3 linked regions of the Drosophila melanogaster genome follow. The protein of the gene in region 1 interacts with the protein of each later gene in a pairwise test. Each region holds a gene or a part of one and is shown on either strand. Other genes may lie near its edges.

Region 1 (7,797 bases):
TTCTCTTTTCATGCCTCCAGGTCCTGTGTTTGGTGGCAGTCACCTGCGCCGATAAGCTCGGCTACAACTACCAGCCCGTTGGCCACTCCAGCTCCGGACTGTCCTTCGCTCCTGGCAGCGGCTCTATCAGTGGTGGATCTATTGGAGGAGGCTCCATCGGAGGAGGTTCTATTGGAGGAGGCTCTATTGGAGGAGGCCTCATTGGTGGTGGCTCTATCGGAGGAGGAAGCATCGGAGGTGGATCCCTTGGTGGTTCCATCGGTGGTGGCTCCATCGATTCCGGTCTTGGCGGTCTTGGTGGACTCGGTGGTCTAGGAGGTGGCGACGCTCTGGCCGCTCCAGTCTCCTACAACGCCCCCGCTCCCGCTGCTGAGCTCCAGAAGGAATTCTTCACCTACTCCGCCAACGAGCAGGACTTCGATGAGCCACAAGAACTGGAGCGTGTTGCTGGATCCGTAAACAAGGGACTGCGCGTTGTCTTCATCAAGGGACCCGAGAACCGTGGTCTGGAGAACGCTGCCCTGGCCCTCGCCAAGCAGGCTGCCCAGCAGGAGACCGCCATCTATGTCCTGAACAAGCAGGCTGATATTGGAGATCTTGCCCAGAAACTGAACGCCATCCGCAACAACAACAACAACAAGCCCGAGGTGCACTTCGTCAAGTACCGCACTCCCGAGGATGCTGCCAACGCCCAGCGCGCCATCCAGGGTCAGTACGACCAGCTGGGAGGATCCTCTCAGGCTCATGATGGTGGTGTTGCACCCGCCCTGAACTTCGCCTCCGCTGGACCCGTCCAGAAGGCTAACGCCCAGATCCCCGACAACGCCTACCTGCCCACTTCTGTGTTCCGTCGTCTGCGTTTCTAGGAAGGCTACATCTTGGACTCCATTAACTTAAGCAAATCTCGACTGAAGAACTCATTCTTCCTGTTACACGTTGTTGACTAATGCATAATTACACCAATAAATTTGAAATTTAAATACGAAAATTTAAACAAAGGTCTACCTTATGTGTTTTATAGAGTGAGATTTTTATTGCGGCTTGGCCATAGTAGCTAATGGTGCATTAAGTCCGCCTTGTTTGGCTTGATTGTTTGCGGATGGGTTAAGTATAAAAAGTGCCCTTCAAACTATAAATATCTCGAATTGACGACATCAAGATCAGGAAAGGCAGTTCGGAGCAGGTTTCCTTTATGAGTTTAAGCCCTCGTCGAATCATATTCACCTAGACTTTCCATACAAATCAATGGACTAATTATCTGACATAGCCAACTCGCATGCCGCCAAATTAATTGACTACAAGATTAGATCCACCCACTTGGCCAGCGGGAAGCATTAATACCGGACTCCCGGCCAACGAGGAACTGGTTCTTTCCCGACGACAGCTCAAGGTCGCGAAGATGCCAACAACTGTTAGATGACCTGGTTTCCGAGGCCCGTCGTGTGTCACGTACAATTAGAAAGGAATCTCAAGTGCAACCCACATACGAAGGCAATGAAGATTTATGCCCAATCGAAACCTGATTAGCCATAAAAACAAAGTCTAATCATTAATTTTATTAAGCTGACGATCACTTTTTTGTTGAAATCATTAACAAATAAGCGGTTCTGTATACATATTCAAGCAAATATAACAAAACAATCCGATTGAAACAGCCAAGAGATCGGTTATTTTTCTTTTATTTGTGCATAAATTATAAGCCAATTATGGGTGAATCACGATAGTTCGGAAAACGACTGGACTCGCAATCGGATCTTAGCTCGGACTCGGACTTCGATTCGGAATCTCATCTCAGTCGGCGGCACGATTGAAGCTGTCTTTTGCCCACAACAATGTGTTAAATGTGTTAAGAGCGAAATTATGTTAGCAGATTAACAGCATTCCGAAAACCCGATGGCCAATAGCCACTGGCCATTCGCGAGTCACGATTCGTGAGCGGAGATCGATGATCGCCGTGTTCCGCCAGAGGGACCCCAAAGTGACTAGACGGCTCAATTGACTAGATTTTCTAGTCTAATTTTAAACGTCGTCGCGTTGGCGGTATAAAAGGTAGATAATGAATGCTATATTATTCATTCGTCTAGAATATCTCGTAGGCATCGGGTCAATATGCGTGCCCTCATTATTCTAAGCATTGTGGCAGCGGCAAGTGCCGGTAGCTTGTCCGGATATAATTACGGACAAGGTGCGACAACCAGTATTGGGGGCAGTGGTGTATCCCCAGTCCCTGCACTGGCGGGACCAGTTAGCTATAGTGCCGCTCCCCAGGCGTCAGTTCACAAGGAGTTCTACAGCTTCTATGCCAACGATGACGACTTCGAGGATAAGGCTGCTCTCCAGAGGGCTCTTGCCTCGGTCAAGAAGAACATTCGCGTCATCTTCATCAAGTCGCCGGAGAACCGTGGCTACGAGAATGCCGTTTTGGCCCTGGCTAAACAGGCGGCCCAGCAGCAGACTGCCATATATGTGCTGCACAAACAGACTGATATCAACGAGCTGGCCCAGAAATTCAATGCCGTGCGCCAGAATGCCAACAAGAAGCCCGAGGTGCACTTCGTCAAGTACAGGACACCTGAGGATGCTGCCAATGCCCAGCGGGCAATCCAATCGCAGTACGATCAACTCGGCGGCTCCAGCCAGTCCATCAACGGTGGCGTGGCTAATGCCATCAACTTTGCATCCCAGGGAGCTGCTCCAGCACGCGTTACTCCTCAACAGGTGCCCCAGAGCAACTACCTACCCGCCAACATCCTGAGTCGCCTGCGTCACTAGAAAATCGATTGTTAAACGTTGTTTTCGAATAAAAGTTATCTAATTTGGTTATGTAAATTATTGTATTTTCATTTGGTTAATTCCTTTAAAAATTGACGAAAGCAACATAAGTATGCAACAGTTTTCAAAATAAATTGTATACCTATTTATAGCAGCGATAATCGAATAAAAACAGAAAGAAAGAAGAAAGAAGAAATAAAAATACTTGTTCAAAACCCAAGATCTCAGCAGCCATAAACTGGTATTAAATTTTGAATATGGTTAAAGTATAAACTAGTTCCTAAGAAATATATAAGTGCTTCTACTTATGTGCGCTTTCAAAGTTTGCAAGAAAATATTTCGCTGCAAATAAATCCGAACTTGCGAAGTTTCGTTCCCAATGAACTCAGCCTGCAAAGTTTTTTGGTTTTTACAAATGCACTACAACAAGTCAAATTGGTTTTAAAATTTAAGAATTGAATTTATTTAAGCATTAGTCAACAAAAACTACGATTTAATATCAGTCAAAAATCGCTGGCGTTTTCGATTCCGAAAGGAGTGAAACGAGCGACTTAGACGCGACGGAAGACCGAAGATGGCAGGTAGGAGTTGTCGGGGCTCTGGGCGGCGGCCTGACGCACTGGAGCGGCGGAAGCGAAGTTCAGGACGGGGGCAACACCACCGTTGTGGGCCTGGCTGGATCCTCCCAGCTGGTCGTACTGACCCTGGATGGCGCGCTGGGCGTTGGCAGCGTCCTCGGGAGTGCGGTACTTGACGAAGTGCACCTCGGGCTTGTTGTTGTTGTTGCTGCGGATGGCGTTCAGCTTGTTGGCCAGATCTCCAATATCGGCCTGCTTGTTCAGGACATAGATGGCGGTCTCCTGCTGGGCAGCCTGCTTGGCGAGGGCCAGGGCGGCGTTCTCCAGGCCACGGTTCTCGGGTCCCTTGATGAAGACAACGCGCAGGGCCTTGTTCAGGGCAGAGGACACACGCTCCAGCTGCTGGGGCTCATCGAAGTCCTGCTCGTTGGCGGTGAAGGTGAAGAACTCCTTCTCCAGCTCGGCGGTTGGGGCAGGGGCGTTGTAGGAGACGGGGGCACTGAGGGCGTCACCACCACCAATGCTTCCGATGCTGCCAATGCTTCCACCACCAATGCTGCTCAGACCACCCAGACCGGCACCGCTTCCGATGCTGGCTCCAATGGAACCACCACCAATGGATCCTCCGATGCTGCCGCCTCCGATGCTGCCGCCTCCGATGCTGCCGCCTCCGATGCTGCCTCCTCCGATGCTGCCTCCTCCGATGGAGCCACCTCCAATGCTGCCACTTCCAGGAGCAAAGGACAGTCCGGAGCTGGAGTGTCCCACGGGCTGGTAGTTGTAGCCGAGCTTATCGGCGCAGGCGACTGCCACCAAGCACATAACCTGGAGATAAAGAAAACAGCATTGTAATCCTTGGTATCCTTTTGGAGTATTTCGTCGGCGATCGAACGTATACTTACAATGAAGGCACGCATTTTGAATTTAGTTCTTTGACTTTGACCACTTGGTTGTGTCTGACGTTTGCATCACCGAAAGGTCCAATATTTATACGAAAACCAACGATCGGTGTCACTAAACTGCGCTCAAGTTCATGCAGACTTTACCATCGTTGTATTTGTTGGCTCCGCAGCATTTTTTGGTAACTTCTTCGGCAGCTTTTGTCTCTTGAAATGCTATCCACCTTCGAAAAACGAAGCTTGTGCGATAAAACAATGGCCAAGCCGACGTGAACAAAGCGCATCGATACCTGGCCGCCCTATTCTTGCAAATGTTGGCGTCGACATTATGCTAATTCCACGATCCCTCAGTCCAAGTCGTAGTACCATCATCGAAAATTTTTAGGCACACGACCCTACCCGTCAAGTTGTAATCCAATAGAGCAGGCTCTCGGCGGAGGAAACGGCTGAAAACTCGTTTAGCAAAAGCCACTACTATAAATGGTCATGCTTTCAGTAAATGAAATGATTTTCTTCATATTTTGTATGCTAAAACATTTAGCGGAGCATCCAAACGAGTTCGAAAACGACTCGGTTTTTCTACACTTTTTAGTTGATCCAGCCGCATATTTCTAGCTGGGAATCCCCAGCGATTATTGCGTCCCCCTTTGGTATTTGGAATATTGTATATGGTATATGGTATGGTATGGTGTATGGTGTATGGTGTATGGAACTGGCTGCTCTAGGGTTTGGCCATATAAAACCCGAACACTGGACTGTGGACTGTGGTAGGGTTGAAAAACAATGGATCTGAAATGGATAGAAATCAATTTTCGCCAGCCTTTTTGCGCATCCATTCATTCATCCGTCCATCTATCCGACGGCCCATCTGTCCATTTGTCCGGAGCTCGTCGCTTGGCCATTTAACCTGTGGCAAAAACACGGCTTCGCAAAATAGAAGCCATAAAGCTAACAACCGTTGCGACCTTGAGGTTTTTTACTGTTGACCAGCACCCGAAGCTATTCGGAATTCGGCGGTAATCAGCTGGCGCCAGGCGACCATTTAATCTGATCAGCGATTATCACGTTTTTCATCATGGTTTATTGATATCATAAAAATTATGGTTTTTTATTTTATTTCGGCAAAGTTTTCGAGCAGAAGGGGGGTAGAGGCAGCAGCAAATCCGCTGAAAACTGATTTGATTTGCATAATTTAGGAGAAATACCCAAGATCCATATTTAAGATAGCCGAACCGATTTGCAAATCAATAGTGGCGAATGCCAATCGCGGTTATGACTAATATATATATTGATTGATATCACGGATAACTATAGCGATGAGTAACTCGAAGATGGGGTCAGTTAGGAAATCCGCTAAGACATCACAACCATGATATCATTTTCAGTGACGGACACACACAAGTTCTATATGGTTCTATATCTAATGATGCTATATGATGCCCCCCATTCCACGCTGGCCGGGATCCAATTAAGATTCACATTCGAAGCAATAACCTAAAGTCAAAAACAATTTGTCTTGGCTTTGTGTGCGGCCCCACCTTTTGCCCACTGCCAACTGTTGCGGCTCGCCGATTGGCCAGCATCTCAGCCAAGTTAGTCGCTGGTGGCAATGTCATATGCAAACTAATCAAATGTAAGCATAATAAAACAACCCAGCCACAATTTCAAGGTCTCGGGCGCCACACGCACATAAAAGATGCACGCAGCAGCGACATAAAAAGTGGTCAAAACGCGGGAAAAGAGTTTCCAGCACGAAATCGAAGATAATAGCGGTCGGACGACGTTGGCGTATCAATAAATAAATAAAAAAAAAACGGCTCAAGCGGACAAAAAACATCTACGGGAGGGAATTTCTGGCACCACTTTATGTAAATGGCCTTTTGGGTCAATCGATCTATTTACAAAATCTGACACTGTTTATTATTTTATCCATTATTTTTAGTCTTTCTCTCTTCGAGACAACAAGACTGCCCCTATATTATTTTATTGCCATTGTACTGGCACCCACCAGAATGTCGAAACGAATAAAATTGTGCATTTAATTTATTCGGCTATCACCTGGCTGGTGTCAAAACCGGGCGGTGCCTTTCAGGTGCAAAAATCCAATCAAATCTGTCGCCTCACCATAAATTGGAGCATTAGTAATTTCCTTAAATCATAAGCTTTATTTACGAACGACAAATTTGCCAGTTAAACCCCAGTTAAACGAGTTTGTTTGCTTCTAGCCTTTCTTTTGCAAAAATGTTTGGAGCTGCCGGCTTTTCGAACTCTTTTACGAGCAGACCGTTTCTATTCTTCTCTAGATACGAGTTTTAGTTGCCAAAATTATTTCCGCATGCCTGGCGACAAATAAAAAACAAAAAATGTTACCCAAAAAGCTGACTGGCTTGCCGCAAAATCGTTTCTCTTTTGCAAAAGAAATATATGCAAATATATTAAATCTGATATGCAAATAGCCGATATCAATTATTTCAAGCGCAAAAACCCGAACCAAACCATGGAAACTAAACTAAAGCTTATGCTAAAAAAACGCAATATTTTAAAAAACCTATCCGAGAGTGCTGAAAGGAATAAATCAAATCAAATTTCGCCGAGCTGGCCAATTTGTTTGGCAAATTGTGTTAGCGATATAAATATTTTGTATTGACAATCAAACGGCAACGACGACAGATGCTGATTATTATTTTGCGTGTTTATGTATTTTTTGCTTGCAACCAGCTAAATGGCCGAGATTATTTATTAAAAAGTTAGCCATACAAGAGATTTCTGTTTGTGCACATCAGCCGAAAATGGCATAAGAAATCAACAATAGGAAAAAATATAGAAAATATTAAAAAAATATGCTCTATGCTTTATTTCTACATGGATAGAGCGATAAGAGCGGCAAATAAATTTGCGGCTTTTTGCGCGATCCTTGGCACCCACAAGAAGGCAATAAATTATTTTCGAGGTCTCCTTAGTACGCATTCTGCGCAGTAAAAAACACATTTTTGTCTGCCTTATAGTGCATATTGTCGTCGACGCTTGAGCTCTCCATTTTATTTTAATTGCAGGCCTGCCTCTGCCTAATGCCAGCTTAATGTCCCAGTTTTCAGGATCCCGGACTCTTTACGAGCAACAGCACGGTCCCAGTGCAAATTGTCGTTTAATTTATTAAGCAGCGACTATGCCGGCATTTGATATGAATATGTGTGTGCAAAACACTAATTACAGATACACCACGCCCACAGCGAACCGGGCGCAGCCAACATGCATATATATAGTAATTAGAAAATAAGAACACATAGGCTTAAATATAGCGCCCGTTCACAACTCGCTGGTTGACATAAATTTGGGCCAACGCTGCGTATACGTAATGAAAGCAGTTTCACAACGGAATGAATCTTTAGTAGAATGACTAGGGAAAATCAAGTATGGAGCGAGGCCAGCCAGCTACTTTTATTCGTTAAAGTTGTCCAAACTGGTTGATCCAACTATCACCTGGCTGACCTGGGCTTTCCCAGTCCCGTCTCGAAATTTATCGGCAACTTGAACTTGAAGATGTCGCC
Region 2 (9,360 bases), on another chromosome or scaffold:
TCGGATTCGTGTAATTTCTTGGCCGGCGCATTATCTTCATGGAAACTTCGGCGAAATCTATCAAATACACAATCTGCAAGTTTGGGATAGTGTATTGAGTCCATCACATGCTGCTCCATCCATTTCTCACTCACCTTGTCAAGGATATCGATAGGGAAGTGTGCTTCGCAACTGGATACGAATACCTTTATGTAGGTGCGCATAACGTAGTAGAGCAAACCACAGACCCACTCGACGGAAGGCATGGCGAAATGATGTAAGTTAGTACAAATGAATTTACAAAACTTATAAAAGATCTCGAAAAGATTGTATGAATATTTGTTCCGTACTGACTGAAAGGTACCGAATGAAAAACGAACCAGATTTAGGGCATTAAATCATGGCCAACTAGGAGCGCTGGCTGTGCAAGGAGAGGGATAACCTCTAGGAGCTCCAATCCCAGCTTCAAAATTTGTCAAAGTTTCGAATTTTGAAAATCAGCAGAAAGCAACATAACCTTAAACAGAGCTCCACGTTTTTATTTAATCTAGTTTCTTTTCGTCGTCGAAGTAAACTGACCGCAATAATGTAAAGTAACTTATCGAGGTACTTAGAATCTGAAAGAGATGAGTTTAATTGTGCAATTGATATATATATATATATATATATTTTTTTTTTGTAGACATACGGCCGTAAAACTCTGCAAGGACAACGTTGAGAACTTGAAAGCCGTAATCCTTACAGGCTGTTGACTGCAGAGGATCATAAACCAAATCTGGTTTCGGATTCGCTTGGTTGTTGGCGTGAACGATTGTATCTCAATGCGATCGGATCCTTCCCACTGGCATTCATACAGAATTTGCGCTGTTAAGGTAGACTGTTTATCGGAAATAGTTTATTAATATATTAAAAAAAAAAACAATCTACATTCTTGCCTGTTTTATCAATGCGTCGCCATTCTCGCAAAGAACGTATAATTGTGAAAGGGCCGAGGATATGTAAATTATGAACTTCACATAGTCTCCAATGAACATATTTTTTCCCTTATGAAGTTTAGAAAGAAAAGCTAGTCATTATATTAAAATATTTACTGCCAATGCTTACAGTAACTATTTGAAAGCCAACCATGCAAATAAGTACGGAGGAAATCATTAGATTGGCCAGTAGAATTGGGTTGAAAAAGTCCTCGAGGCGCTTAGCAAAACTATTGGCAAAATCAAAGTAACATGTAATGGAATCATTGTAATAGAGTCGTTGTAATAGAATCATTGTAATAGAATCGTTGTAATAGAATCGTTGTAATAAAATCATTGTAATAAAATCATTGTAATAAAATCGTTGTAATAGAATCATTGAAATGAATCATTGTAATAAAATCGTTGTAATAGAATCATTGTAATAGAATCGTTGTAATAGAATCATTGTAATGAATCATTGTAATAGAATCATTGTAATAAAATCGTTGTAAAAGAATCATTGAAATGAATCATTGTAATAAAATCGTTGTAATAGAATTATTGTAATAAAATCGTTGTAATAGAATTATTGTAATAGAATCATTGTAATAGAATCGTTGTAAAAGAATCATTGTAACAGTATCGTTGTAATAGAATCATTGTAATAGAATCATTGTAATAGTATCGTTGTGATAGAATATTTGTAATATAATCGTTGTAATAGAATCATTGTAATAGAATCATTGTAATAGGATCATTGTAATAGAATCATTGTAATTGAATATTGGCACGATACCAACCTGATAATATTGTTGTGTTTTTCCACAATACGTTTGAGTCGCTCCAGCTGAATGCTCTCGGCCAATTCCGCATTGGAACCCGCAAATAAACCTGCGATTCGTTGGTGTAGCAAATGAAATTGGCCACAAGTGTAGGTTATGAAGAAGCCAAGAATGGTGTCCTCTGCAAACAAGGTGGTGACCACACAGATTCCCGCGTAGGAGGTGAAGATGTAGGTCATCACATATCGGATCCAACTGCTCTGGGCATCGTACGGAAAGATCATCTTGTAGGGAAACGGCTTGTTCTGTGCATCGAAGGCGGGTCCAAAGAAGATCTCCACCAGCGGCAGGACACAATACATTATGATCAGGCACGCTAGCAAGGATGTCATTATGCTGAAGGTAACCATGCGTCTGCGACACTCGGCGGCAACATTGTTTTTGGAAGAACTGGAACCCATCATATATTTATATATGTAAATAAAGATTTTCTTACAAATACAGTTTGAAGATGGGTATAGTTACTCAAAAGTCTATATTATCTCAAAACCACTTTAAGTGTCCAAAAGCATGCTTAGAAAGCAAAGTTTGCTCTTTTGCACACAACAATGTAGCACACTTTTCTGCGCATTTACTCAAGTAAGATTGCAAACCTCTATAGTTTTCAATGCTCTGCAGTTTAATGCGATGATCATTTAACATCGCTTATAATAACCCTAATGAATCGACTCACTTAGGTATCCAAATTTCGTAGGAAAAGTTCTCAATAAGCTGGCGGAATTTCCTCTGATTGAGGCGAAGATGGATGAGTCGGACAAAGTTCAGGACACCCATAAAGGTGGTGCAACAATTTTCCGTGGTGATAATAATGTCCGAAAGGTTGTTCAGCAAAAAGGCCGTCTGATAGCTGATTGTTATGCCCACAGATGCAATGACGTACCACGCCCACACGATGTAGGCGGTGGCCAATAAGGATTGGCTCCTCCATGGCCTCGATGATTCGGTTAATGGCCAAGAACCATTCAGTTTCAGCCAAACGCACTGAATGGGAAAGCTAAGTGCTTTGTAGGGATACGAATAGAACATGACTATCTGATAAATGCCACAGCACTAGGTACATCTTAAGGCATTTCTTTCATTTATAGCTTACCAACTGCGCCCTAAAATTACCACTTTTTTAATCATTTACCCTAATTGCACAGTAAATATTTTAGAAAGCGTTTGCACACAAGGCATATACTTACCACCTCATTAAGTGCCGAATATGAAATTTTGATCAAACGCATTTTCCAAGGAGGTGTGTGCCTGTGAAATCCATTAAACTATACTACTTGTGTGTATTTTAATTTTGCTTTATTTTGAAGAACAAAGTGCGTTTTGCTCTCGAAAAATAAACAGGTAAACAGGTGCACATATTTCAATTTTGTTTTCAATTTAATATATTCAAATTAAAAAGCAAAACTAAAAGTATAAACATGCAACCTGCGCCTGAAATCCGTAACACTTTTAGATATATATATATTTTTTTTTCAATTTCTTATACATATTATTTCATTGTAATTTTCCATGATTTTCCATTTATGTATGTTGGCTAACAATGCGGTCTGTATTTATTTTTAGGCTTTCATTCGCCCAAACTTCATTTCGAAACCAGTTAATTTAAATCAGGTCACTGCTAGCTGGGCGTAAGAAGGATATAGCTTCATTCAATTAGACGACGGGGGCGTGGCCAATCTGTGGCGTGGAACAGTGTGGACCCAGTTCTCTGTCCATTGTTCTGGCCAAGATCTCGACGGCCAGATAGACAGGCAGCCAGACAGAGATACAGAGAGACAGACAGACACGGCTAGATGGAAACGTATGTAGAGGCGTAGGTGTATACTACACTTCCTTTTACAATTACGCACCTTTGCACGAATACAATATACCCTTTTGCTCCACATAACGGACATAAACAGACGTACCCGGATTGTAAGACTCGTTGGGGCCAAGGAGTGGATTTTTTTTTTACCGACTTTCGGCGAGAGAGCCAGCGGCTGAGTGCCGAACACCAACCAACATCCATCCGAGGACCAAAAGGATGTGGCCCACACAGCCCGAGAGAGCCAAGATGCTGAATTGTGACGTGACAATAGAAGCGGAGAGCGAGAGATGTGGCCACTCGGCTGGGCTTGGTTTGAGATATATTGGTATGGGATGGGATGGCCGGGATTGGGAATCTCCCAGTTGAGATTCCGGTGCTCTGCGACTGCGTCGTATTTGGCTGACTGAAGAATGGCTGGTCGACTGGGTTGGCTGCCTGGTTTGCCTCCGGTTGGAGGCAATCGTTTTTCGCCTGGCCAAAATCCTGCAGACGTGTTCGAGAGCTTTAGAACGTTGTTTGCAATTGCGGAAAGCGGTTAGCGAGGCACGAGACACGGCGATAGTTTTTAATAGAAGAAGCAGCAGCAGCAATAAAAAAATAAAATAAATTAATACAAAAAACACAAAAAACATACAAAAACCAAAAAAAAAAAAAAACAAACAAACAAACAAAACGAAATACGAAAGCAGCAGAAAAGAGTGCAGATGCAGGAAATAGCCGTATAGTTCGCAGCCAGCGGAGCAATAGTTTATTGAGGAATAATCCCCGAGTCGGCGCCCAAAAAGATCCAACAAATACCCCAGAAACACAACTGAACAACCAGCCCAGGCAAAAGTATATACATATATATATATATATATATATATATTAACAAAGAAATTCGTTTTCAAATCCCAACACACCGTGAACTTAGAATATATATATATACATACGCGTATATATATATGTATATATATATATATATGGAAAAAAGTAAAAGAAAAGAGGAAAAACGAAATGCCGAACGGGTGGGCAAAATGTGAAAACCCAACAAATAACTACTCAGAATCAAATGTTTGATATAGTAACGTAACGAAACGCAACGCAACGCAGCTCTAAAATCGGCTACTAAATCAGCACATTCAAATCAAATATGGAAAATACAAAAATAGAATAAATATATATATATGTCTATATATGTGCACATATATGCGTGTATATGTATATGCTGATGGCGTAAGGATGAAAAGATCATAAAATACATATTTTATGAAAATTTTTTGCATATTTTTTTTACTGTTTGGCCAAAATAACAAACTGAGTGTGTTCATAAAGCAGTACAATGTAAACTTAAAAGCAAACTTAAACGCAAAACGGATAACAAATAATTCATAACTACTCTCCAACTACTGTTTCAATGGATTCTGGTTTTGATTTTTTTCGAATTTCCCGAATTTCCATTGGTGAGTACCGCAATTACGTTTATGTATTTTATATCTATCAAAAATCGCTACACATCCCATGCATATATATATATATATATAGTATATTTCGGTATATGTACATGGCCTCAAGGATTCCAAACTCTGGCAGATGGAACTGAAATAGTTTGGCTAGCTGGATAGTTGGATTGCTTTATGGCCGTAATTATACGGGGGAGGGGAAAATGTATACTTGGTCCAAAACACACACCACATGCCCAACATACTTACTATTATTGCGAATATGGTCCAACTCCCGACTCTCGAGCGGAAATGAGGCGCGGCTGACTGCGCATGACCAATGAATAATAGCGATACAGAAATGCTTTTATCCCACACTTTGTATTCCAATGCATATCTGGATATCCTCTCTCCATCTCGACGTCTCACCGTCTCTCCATCTCGTCATCCCTTCTCTGTCCATGCCGCTCCATTGGCATGCGAAGGAATTTGGAATTTTTTTTTTTTTTTTTTTTTTGGCAAAAGGACTCTGGCAATTCGAAGTGTGTCAGGACATCATCGCCTTTTTCAGCGTCGCTTGCAATGGTGCGCTCCTCCACCAACGCCAACTGAAGACACATTTGTTCACAATTATTTGGGGGTCTGGGCATGCGTTGCCATTGACCCATCTAACCACCCGCAGTTGTGCACGGCAATTCAAATCTCAACGTGCCCCAGTGCTTTCGATTGTTTTTAAACAATTAAATCCACCGCATAATCCCATGCCAGCCAAACGAAACACGTAACCGGATTTGAGATGATGGCAAAGTGATTCCAGGATGATTCCCCCTGCTGAGTCCTTGAGTTTGTGAGTTCTCGTTTAATGGTTGGTTAACTCGTGAGAAATCTGCGCTGGCAGTAAAGTAAACAAGCAGCGGGCAATTTGTTTATCAATCAAAGAAATGGTGTCGGAATTCCGCATTCGCGAGTGTGACAACGCCCAAATGTTTGCTGATCCATAAAGGAGAAGAGCTCCGCGATTAGATCGCCCTACCTACCACCACGCATCCTTCGAAGCTCGAACTTCCCTATCGTTTGGTAGCACATTGACTCCAGATGGACTTATTGGGGGCACAAATCAAAACGCGGCAAAACAATGGGGCAAAGACACAGATTAGGTCAAATAACAATGCTGCTATACACACGAAGAAAAAGGAATGAACTTGTGAGGGAAACTAAAGATGAATGGTTTGAATACAATACAGTTTTCTTTGCATACATTTAACGGACTGAAAAAAATCTTTTAAAACTGGTTATGCTAGGGAAAACATTATTTTTTCATATCCTGTTAACAAACATTTGGTATTTGATTAGTTTCCGGAATCCTTGAATTTTTCTTCGAGTGGCAAACTTATGGCTCTGCACCAGATTAGAAGCCATGACCTACGATTTGATATAATCAATCAAGGCTTGACTTGTTGCCTGTTCAATAAATAGTCAGGATATTCAGAATTCACAACAGTTGAAATCATTTACAAAACGCGGCTTTGTATGAGTAAATCTTTTCTGCGTGTGTAAAACTACAAAATGCTGCCCAATGCTAGTGAGTCAGATACTGCCAAAAAAACTTGTCGGTATCATGGAGTGAGCCAACTTTTTGAGAAACATAATAATGAAAGTTTTGTCAAAACGAATAAATTGGGAAACACTATACGATGGAGCTTCAGCTTTCCGTGCTGTTGTTACTCCATTTGATCGGGAATAGTTTTAATCAAGTTTTAATTGGCAAAGTTGCACAATGAGTGCAATCATTAGTCAGCAGACAAAAAATTGTGTGGCTGGCAAGAGGAATAACTCATTTTATTGGCCCACAGATCCACATCCGCACACATGTCTGCAGTTCCCATCTTTGGAATGCCGTCTAGTCGGAGGCTGCGCATTCGGTCTTTGGAGAGCCAGCCAGCCAGCCAGTCAGCCAGCCAGCCGACGACCACGACTCTCGCGTCCTTAATTTTCATCCCTTTATTTATTTATTTTCCTGTCAGCTGCCGCTGTCTGGTGTGTCTGCCCAAGGTTTCTGTTTCGCATTCTGTTTCTGAATTTGAATCTGAATCTGAGACTGAATCTGAGACTGAATCTGAGACTGATTCTGAGTCCGTTTCGGCCGTGGACGCCCACGACAGCGAGGGAAATATGTGGCCATCCGGAGAATAGATTAACAGGATACACCAGTAGTTAGGGACCTCAGCTCATCTACTCATCTTCATCTTCATCGCCCCTTCATCATCATCATGGGGGCTCATCTCATCTTGGGGCTTTAAATTATGCGACTTGAGTTGTGTTTGTTGGTAAGATGTTGTCATATGTATGCGACCAGCCACTTGGCCTGGAGAAGTACTCATCAAGGTGCCCAAAAGTATGCCACAATGTATTTAAAATGTGCATTCTCAACTCTTCAAGTTCCTTATGCTTGGGAATTGCTTGGGTGGTGTGTTTCTGAAAAATGGTCCATATATTTGTAATATATCATCAGAGTTATTAAAGCACACGAAGAACTGTCTAAAAGTATGCTACAATTGTGCGCAATTATTATACTATACTATGTCTGTTGGTTTAAACTTAACTTATGAAGGTTTCTAAAACTTCTAAAAGTATAAATAGTTAAGTTAAAATATTTATATGTAAAGCATACCATTTTTTCTGCTACAAATATAAATTACCATGTTTATACAATACTTGCATATATTATTTATGCCATATTAGCTTAGCACTTTTGACCGGTTTTTAAACGAATGACATAAAATCATTTGCACTAATAATGTCATTGGCTGGTGAATAAACTTTGTTTGGATACAGCTTTCTATTGGTCGAAGTTGCTTGTTTATTACATTTTTAAAAGTATATAATTGGATTTAGCTGAAATTTCTTAGATAATTCAAACACTCTCGCTTGCCATACGCAAATTGTGATATGCATTCATCTTTTTAATGCAATTAAATGTTATGACAAAACTTTGAAAATAAGTTACTTCTCAGTTGTTGTTTTATAAATTGAAACCATTCTCGTTGTTATCCTTTTCGTTAGTCCTTTTACTCCTTGTAATTTTCCATGTGGGCCACTGTCGCCTCCTTTTGCGGCAATAAATTTACTCACTGCCTTTTCGCCGAAATGACCCAAATTTCAGGATGCCCTCCATATAAGGGAAAATTCAATAAATTATTGCTAAGCCTTTGGAAATTGTGCAGAACCTGTTGATTCTGCAGCCGCCGCAACTAAGCGCTTAATTAAATTTTAGTCGGAATTTTCACGTATATGTATACGCATTTGATATTTTGGAAACAGGCAAAGTCAAAAAAAAAAAAAAAAACTTATCATATATAATATTATTGCCAATAAGATACTATTTATATTACGTTTTATTGAAGTCGAGCACAATTTCAATATCCCTGGATTGCATAAGCTTATGTTTGAAACAAGTAATTTGAAACTGATTGCTTGCTGGGGCAAAAGAGAAATCACAGTAATTGCAGTAAAAGCAAACATTTAATTTGCACGAACGAACACTTAAACAAATTAGCTGACTACACTTAGAAAAACGTATGATACAAAACAAAAACATTACTCGAATATCATTTGAAGCTAAGTGTAAACTACATTTAAGAGAAATTGTCACAAATTATATATTTTTGAGAGCGATTCTAGCTTCGAGTTTCGCTCAGTGTATGCAATAACTGGCGTCAGCAGCGCAGCTTCCAATTTTCCCCTTTGATCCTATAAATTATGTTCGGTTCTGCTTTTTAGTCTCTGATTATCTTTCGGTGCATACGATTGCTGAATTCTGGACGGACGAGTGAATTTTCGGATAAATCCATCGGTGTGATTAAATAAACCATATAAGGTGCAACATCAGTTCTTTTTTTTCATGTGACTACTTCAAGAAGGTTAAGGCATCCAAAGCGGGCGAAGCCGATAAAAAAACAGTTGAGAAATATTCGAAATTAGTGTTGCTTTTTGGAATCTTGTTTGAATTTTTTTTAATTGATTCTTAATTCGATTGTTGCAACTACTCGGCGACATTCGAATCTGCATTACCATTAACAATCGCATTCGCAATCGTCTTTCTTACCTAATGAATATTAATTATTTAATAGGATTTTTCAGCTAATTGAATCTGCTTTCTACCATTTCTCTGTCACCGCTAAATGTCTGTCCTTGCCTAATTAGCGCAAATTAAAATTGTGGGCTGTGGCCTCGGAACGCTCTTCACTGTCCGGTGCCCAACATTCAGCATTTAGCATCCAACATTCCGCATTGAACATTCACATTCACACTCACATCCACATCCACATTCGCATTCGAATCCACACCCACATCAACAC
Region 3 (7,651 bases), on another chromosome or scaffold:
GGCATGCCTTTGGTGGACATCAGCTTCTTCCATAGGAAATAAAAGCCTAGGAATATGCAGATTGCGAGTGCCGCCTCGGTGAGAAGAGAGGCTAGTAGCTCACTCGCCATGTTGGACATCTTTTCCAAATTCTTCATGCTCACGTCGTGGACGTATTCCAGAGAAAGTTGAAAGTTGCTGGCCGTTATGTGGCTCAACACGGCCGGCATCGCCATTAGATGACTGACCGAGTAACTGGAATAGTTTTGACCGTTGACCATTATCGTCTCATTGTCGAATTGGATGATAAAGGAGCCGATCAGGTCGTAGTTCTCTGCAGCCGTTCTTAGAGTTCCGTTGAAGTTGGTCAGGAGGAGCATTCCATCGTCGACTTGCTTAACCACTCGTTGGTTACTTCAGTAGCCGAGGGATACAGCTAGCCTCCTCCAGTTTTTGCAGTTCCTCGAAGCCGTCGCTTGCGCGGCCAAGACGGCGTTCCAATCAGCAGCATCTGGAGATCCAGCTACCCATTTCCAAGCCGACCCCAGCCAGTCCAGTGAGCGGGATTTGCGCCGCATGCAGAAATCGCGCTTACAAAAAGACAATTCGTAAATATCTGGTCGTCTAAGTTGTTCTAAGACTACGTAGTGTGTGGGGGTACGGTACATTTTGTGTACTTATATTTTTATTTTTTTATATTTCTTATTTCTTATTTCTTATAATCTGTATTTTTTTATATTATTTTTTTTATAGTTTTTTTTGTATTTCTTTTTGTATTTCTTAACTCATTCTTTTTTTTTTTTTTTTTTTTTTTTTTTTTTTTTTTTTTAACTAATGTTTTTTTTATATAGGGTATGCATGGGGGGAATATTTCATTAGCTGCCACAACGTACTTTTATTACTTTCGTTATTCTTTTTCGCGTTTCTTTTTTAAATGTGAAAGCCACGTCTCAATTTCTTAGATCAGATTTGTGGAAAATTTTTCCTGATCTGGTTTTAACTGTTATTACTTTACGGAAATGTGAGACAACGGTTTTAACCCGATAAAAAAGAATATCTGTTCTTCTTTGCTTTTTCTTTATTTCTCTAAATTTAGCAAATATGGCAATAAAGTTTAATGAAATATTTCACTCACCCTTGTATGCTCTTTATTAGTTTTCGTCGTTTAGGTTGTACCCCTACAGCATGAATATTCTATTGGGATAAGTAAAAAAAGGTGAATTAGTGTATTGTAGAGAATTTTTATTCATTTCGTTTCGGGAAATTGGGGAAATTGTACTATACTTGTTTTCCTTTGAATTGTGGTGTTGTGCATGTGTTTATACAATTTTTGTGCGCTATTCCATTTTGCAATATTTTTTCCTTGCGTGCGTGCTGTTACAGTTTTTTATTGATGACCTCTAATTTATTTCGGCACTGGGCACGGTGGTTCCGTAGTATCCCTTTTGGCTGGTTGCCTACTAAGGTACGGCCGCCACACAACTTGTTGGGCGGTTTTTTTTTGGGTGCATTCCACACCACTTAACGTATCCAACAAGCTGCCACACACCACCTTATCACTCTGGGCGCTCATATTACTCGTACTGCCGCAGGTAAACTGCTGCAATGGTTAATTATTGGTTTATTATACACAATCTTTTGCACTCGCGAATTGGCAAGGAGAGAAAAAAAAAATTTTCCCACAAGCCGTACCGCCGCAGTGGGTTGATCGTGTTTTAATTATGTTATAGGTATCGTACAACTTTTGCGCTCGGCATGGGCGACGTGGCGTCCTCCGGTAGCGGGTCGTTGTTTTATTAATTTAAATTAGGTCTTGGCGCAACATAGGTTTACATTTTTATTTTAGAAATTTTACACCTTTTATTGAATTATGCAATATTTGTTGCGCCCCGGGATGGGCGTAGTTCCCCCCGGCAGCGGGTAATTGCTATTTTATCATTTTATACACAGCTCACGCAGCACTTCTTTTTCATTTATGGATTTCAGATCTTAATCTGACTTATGCACACCACCACTATTTTTACGCACAAATTTCCACAATTTTTTCGTATCACTTTTATCGGCCGGACATTGCCGGTCCCTGCTCGGGCGCCAGTTAACGCAAGTTCCACTTGCATCAGGGTTCTCGGCACTCGCTGCCGCATACCTCACCTCGATATGACAACCAACATGCTGTGGTTCTCCAAATAATAGTCAAGATAGTTAAGAGGGTTCGAGTTTACGATTAGCTTTATTTTAAGATTCAGTTCGCGATCTGCTAGCGGTTCCGTTATGTGTCCGTTCGACACTGGGGCCTCTTCTCCCGCCCCGCTGCTTTTATATCCGCTTCCCCCGTTGACCCCTCACCCTGAGTGCGACCAACGGCACTTGTTCCGAATGCACACATACACAAACATGTTCCTAGACAGGCCCCGAGTCGCCTGCTGACGGGGCCCGAAAACACGAGAGCCGAGCGCTGGTGAGTCCTGACGAAGATCGCAAGAAGAGGGTTCGTAACTTACACGAACATGTTACTAGACAGGCCCCGAGTCGCCTGCTGACGGGGCCCGAAAACACGAGAGCCGAGCGCTGGTGAGTCCTGACGAAGAGCGCAAGAAGAGGGTTCTTAACTTATATATCTCGATCGGGGGAAGAGTCTTGCCAGACTTTTTGTAGCCAATGGAAAACCTTGAGAGCACGGAGAGTGCTGACACAAAATAATGAAATAGTGGTCAATTCATATAGGATTATATGTATATTCGTAAATAAAGTCTTATTCCAACTTGTTCGTTTTGAAATAAACATTATACTTATTTCCTCCATAAACCATGTGGTAAATGTCAGATATCAAAAACTAATATTAACTTCAAAGAGATAAATATTTTTGTATTATATTTCAATAGATTTTTCGCAAATAAAATAGAGATTGGCAAAACATGAGTTATCGTTCATGGTAGTTTTCCCATTGAATGTTCGGATATCCACACACTCTCCATCTTTTGTGGGTTCCCCATCGGCCCAACTCAAAAAATTGGCCTTCGATCCTTTGGTCACAGAAACGAATTCACTTTCGTTGAACTGATTGGTCACGTCGATCCAGTAGCGATTCAGGCCATTAAGTTGGTTATTGAATCTATCCAATTCCTCCTGACTTTGCAGACTGGCCAGATGGCCACCCATTTTGTGGCATTTATCCAAAGCATCGTGCCAGTTTAGCTTCTCTTCCTTTTCGATGTAGTAGTATTTGCTTCCCAGTTGTTGGAAAATTTCGTTTTCTTCCAGTTTTCTGCCCATTGCTGTACCGTGTGTCAGCAGTTGTTGCGAAGTATTTTGATTTTCCAGCTGCAAGTTCGTTGAAGTGCCAAAATTGTCCAGTCTTCGGTCATTTAGGGCTATTCTCGCTATTGCAACAGCTGCTTCACAGGCTTCAACCCTTCGTTGCAAATTGCCCATGCTCGCGATGCAGGGATTCAAGACACCGTAGCAATATGCAGCACATTGGGAATCGCTTTCAACGCCCTAAGAAGATATGTGAATGTAAATATTTAGCATTTCTAAACCACTTCTCTACTTCACTCACCTCGCAGGCTGCTGAATAACTTGAACTCAGACACAACGGGAGTACCAAAAATATAATAGATTTTTGCATTGCTGCGATTCTGAGATCTTTTAAATCCGAGTGCCAAAAACAGACTGACTTAAATGCTTCGAAACCAAGTATATTAGAAAGAAATCCAATAAAGAAAGAAACAGAAAATCTGACGCTGCATGATGATAAGAGATAGGTACTATGTACGACTTATCGCTCTGCACAGCATGTGGGTATAGTTATCTGCATACACAGAAAAACATAATGCAATTCATAATTCATAAAAATTAAAAATATATTTAACATTTTTTAATTAGATCGGCTTAGAACTAAAAAGTCACATAGTGTAATTAACCCATTCGAAATGCGTAATAAACTCGTAGCGTAATCACATAGGCCTAACTCGATTAGAGCCATATTTCATCGATGACTCACGTCTAAGTTCAGTCAGTCCGTCATTCGCGGTTTTCACACGCAGCCGGTCTGTCGATCTCGATTGCTTTCGTTGCATATATTAAATTTAATTATGGGTTTCGGGCTCGACAATAAATTTGATTAATTTCACGACTCTTCGAGTGTGTGCAGCTAAGACGAGTGGAGGCATTGAGTCGAGAACAATAGGCCTAAACTATTGTGGCTAAAAGCTTTAGATCCAAACGATTAGGTCAGGCTGAGTGGCGGCAGCAAAGGCGGCAACTTAGTCTTAGTATAGACGAAGTCGAAATTGCGCTGCACGCATGCGCATAACCAAAATGTCAAGAAGTTGTTCGAGTTGTAGTGGCTGCTCGGATTTGTGGCCTATTGCCGTTTGGGCCGCAAAACGCGACTCGAACTTGCTCTTGGCGGCATTTGTAATTAGCGTTTTGTGGCCGAACAGCCAACACACGGGCATTTTTTTTTGTTTTTTTCTTTTTTGCGCATTTATTAATTAAACGCACAGCGACGCACGACATTGGCCGTGCGTCCAATGCGAACTGCGAACCGCGAAATCCATATCGAAATCGAATTCGTATCACCAAAACGTAGAGAAACACGGCTGGAAAGAGATATCAAACATAGAAGCCTGCACATCGACCTTGGGCGCAGAGTGAACAGTGCATTTCGGGCTCCATTCATAACACTTGATCCAATCCAATCCAATCCAATACGATGCGATGCGATGCGAGGCGATCCGATCCAATGCGATTTCCATTTAAGTGATTCCATGTGATCTCTTCACGGGCAATGACTCAACAGAACCCCGAATCACTTTTACTTCCCAGCCAGCTCCACCTGAACTTTGCAGACACGCTAAACACAATAAATGCACTCGAGTGCATCTCACGTCTGACAAATTGCTTGTATCCGCTGGCAGTTCGATATGCAACGATATTGTGCAATGGAAAATTCGGAAAATCGCACAATCAGCTTCATGGCAAAGGGCAAACTTTGAGCGCAGCTATGGTTAAGATGTTGCGTTGTCAACTCGACATTTGCAAGCGCCGATGGAGGTGGAGATAGGCCATTATCTACATTATGTTCGACTGGGCCTTAGCCTCCTTGATTTGATCTTCATACTTTTTTTCCTCTTTTATTGAGCCTTATAATAAATATATTCTTGAATATCCTCTTATTTTGTTCTCTCTCTCAGGGCTTGGGCCACCTCAGTGGCTGTCACATTAATCCGGCGGTCACCCTTGGATTCCTGATCGTTGGTGAGATCAGCATTCTGAAGGCTGCCTTCTACATCATCGTCCAATGCGTGGGCGCCATTGCTGGAGCGGCTGTGATAAAGGTGGCACTCGATGGAGTGGCTGGTGGCGACCTGGGAGTATCCTCCTTTGATCCCTCCCTGAACTGTGCACAGGCGGTGCTGATCGAAGCGCTGATCACCTTTATTTTGGTTTTCGTGGTCAAGGCTGTTTCGGATCCTGGACGCCAGGATATCAAGGGATCAGCGCCACTGGCTGTTGGTTTGGCCATCGCCGCTGGCCATTTGTGTGCAGTGAGTACGAGGTGATGGAGTTCTCCGACTGGAGGTTAATAAGTGTACCATTTACAGATCAAACTGAGCGGTGCCAGCATGAATCCCGCCCGGTCCTTTGGTCCCGCCGTAGTGCAGGGCGTCTGGACCTATCACTGGGTTTACTGGGTGGGTCCCATTGCCGGCGGCCTGTTGGCCGGAATCATCTACAGATTAATCTTCAAGGTACGCAAGGGCGATGATGAGACCGACTCGTACGACTTCTAAACAGTGGCCGAATACCATATATGTATTTTTGTAAATGTCCGCACCTGCTTTCCATTCCCATCACACATTCGCTTTCCCATCGAATTCGTTTGCCGAAATTTCTCGTAGTTTAGGTTTGCTCCACCATCACAACCAAGCTGAATTTTCAACGCAATTTGTACCATTTTATTTTTTAAACAATAAGAAAGCAAATGTCTCGTTTAGTTGTACCGCGATGCCCCAGCACTTTAAAATATGCAATATTGTATTTGAGTAATTTTAAGCTAAATTATATGCACATCATCATTACGCGAATCGAAGGAAAACTGTATTGAAGCTTAACTAAATTGTACTGGGAAATCACTTTCCAAAGCAGCGAACAGGTGGATTACCTACGCTGTTGATCGCCACTTGCTGAGCACCTGCGAATTGTATTATGACTATGTGTAATAAAAAAATATAAAGAAATTACCAATGTTCATCTTTGTCTGAATGTCCTGGGGCTTCATTCATTCATTGCCAATCGTCATCAGTTACTCTTTTTTATTATTTCTATTTTTTACTTGTGCGTCATCCTTAAAGCAACGGGTATAAATGTAGTAAAACTAAGTCCAGAAATCAGGAATTTGATGCTAGCATTTGGGCTTACCAATACATCACACTTAATCATTGGGTGACATTTATACTAATTATGAAGTTTAGACCTATGCTGCTTTCGGAAATAAACTAATTCGGGAAATTGAGTATAGTTTTCCGTAATTCGGAAGGAGAGCATTCAATGGATATCGCTTGGTTTTGCAATAAGTATAAAGCGGGCGTTAAGCCGTATCCTGGGTATTTTTCTGTGTGGATGCTAATGTATACATTTCAGCTTAAGAAGGGCTGTACCCCATTTCAAGGTCATGAATCATTGTGGTCACTAGATGCCCTCAGAATCCCTGTAATGGCATGGTTCGCATTTTCAATCCTTTGCATACTACTGATGATGTACTGCGTGCTCACACAAACATAACGTGGATCTCGATACGTGTATTAATTAGGATATTAAGGTATTTTGGTTCTCTTTTTGTGTTTTTATTTTTCTTTAAATATTCCACCGGTATTTTAAGCTGTTATTTATTTTTAGGTTTGATTTTTATCATCATGGAGGAAAAGGACGTTTAATTAAGCCATTGCCATATTCGATCATAAAAGAACTGCAAATATTTGGACATATTTTTATTAACACTAAAATATTCTTAATAAGTATTTTATTAATAAATACGGGCTGGCCCTATATGACACGTTTTTACTCATTAAAATCGACATTCTTTGACTTATTATTTATTATTTATTTATGCTATTATTTGGCCGGGTTGCTTTCCATTTGAATTTACTTATTTTCTACATATAGAAATGTATGTTACACGCAATTAGCCGAGAAACGAACCTTTTTCTTTTGGATAAAGAATTTTTAAATGTCAATACCTAACACTAGAGGGCGCTAAAATGTTTGTAGCAATAGCCGCATAATGTAAAATTAGTCCACCGAATTTTGTAATTGTCTCCTTTTTGCAGGTAATAGTACCGCCGAAATAAAACTTTTTTTCTCTTCTTACATTACAATTTTATTTTCAACCATAATTTGTAACTACTCCTATTCACTTCATTTGCCAGCCTATAAAGACGAAAAGTCGAATTATAAAGTGTTACAAGGTAGGTTGCGCATGCGTGCTTACCAACCCGCAAGTAATTGCAGCGATCCAAAAAGCCATTTTAACCTTAAATTCTGATAAGCATTTTTCGAACCCGCTGCTCAAAATAAAGCAGCGTGTTTGCTCAACCGCTCATTTTGTAGTTTTGAGCATCTAAAGCCTCTCTGTCGATTGGTTTCTGTTATCAGTCCTCCGCTCTTT

Evidence for each region. Proteins that work in one complex are often made in the same cells at the same time.
Region 2: the proteins of TwdlM (region 1) and mmd interact in a two-hybrid assay, tested with the Drosophila melanogaster proteins (one large-scale study listed by BioGRID).
Region 3: the proteins of TwdlM (region 1) and CG7763 interact in a two-hybrid assay, tested with the Drosophila melanogaster proteins (one large-scale study listed by BioGRID).

What each region holds. Positions count from the first base shown.
Region 1 is NT_033777.3:26,615,637-26,623,433, reverse strand, and holds TwdlM (TweedleM), read right to left. Parts: upstream 4,317-7,797; 5' UTR 4,268-4,316; coding exon 4,253-4,267; intron 4,176-4,252; coding exon 3,324-4,175; 3' UTR 3,210-3,323; downstream 1-3,209. Other genes in the region: TwdlB (TweedleB), read left to right, coding at 21-866; TwdlP (TweedleP), read left to right, coding at 2,110-2,772.
Region 2 is NC_004354.4:15,967,868-15,977,227, reverse strand, and holds the start of mmd (mind-meld), read left to right. Parts: upstream 1-4,160; 5' UTR 4,161-5,023; intron 5,024-9,360. Other genes in the region: CG42766 (uncharacterized protein), read right to left, coding at 1-73, 135-245; Or13a (odorant receptor 13a), read right to left, coding at 522-596, 668-856, 915-1,022, 1,084-1,183, 1,736-2,167, 2,451-2,803.
Region 3 is NT_033778.4:11,410,512-11,418,162, reverse strand, and holds CG7763 (uncharacterized protein), read right to left. Parts: upstream 3,654-7,651; 5' UTR 3,608-3,653; coding exon 3,539-3,607; intron 3,478-3,538; coding exon 2,848-3,477; 3' UTR 2,701-2,847; downstream 1-2,700. Other genes in the region: drip, read left to right, coding at 5,178-5,531, 5,589-5,735, 6,628-6,768.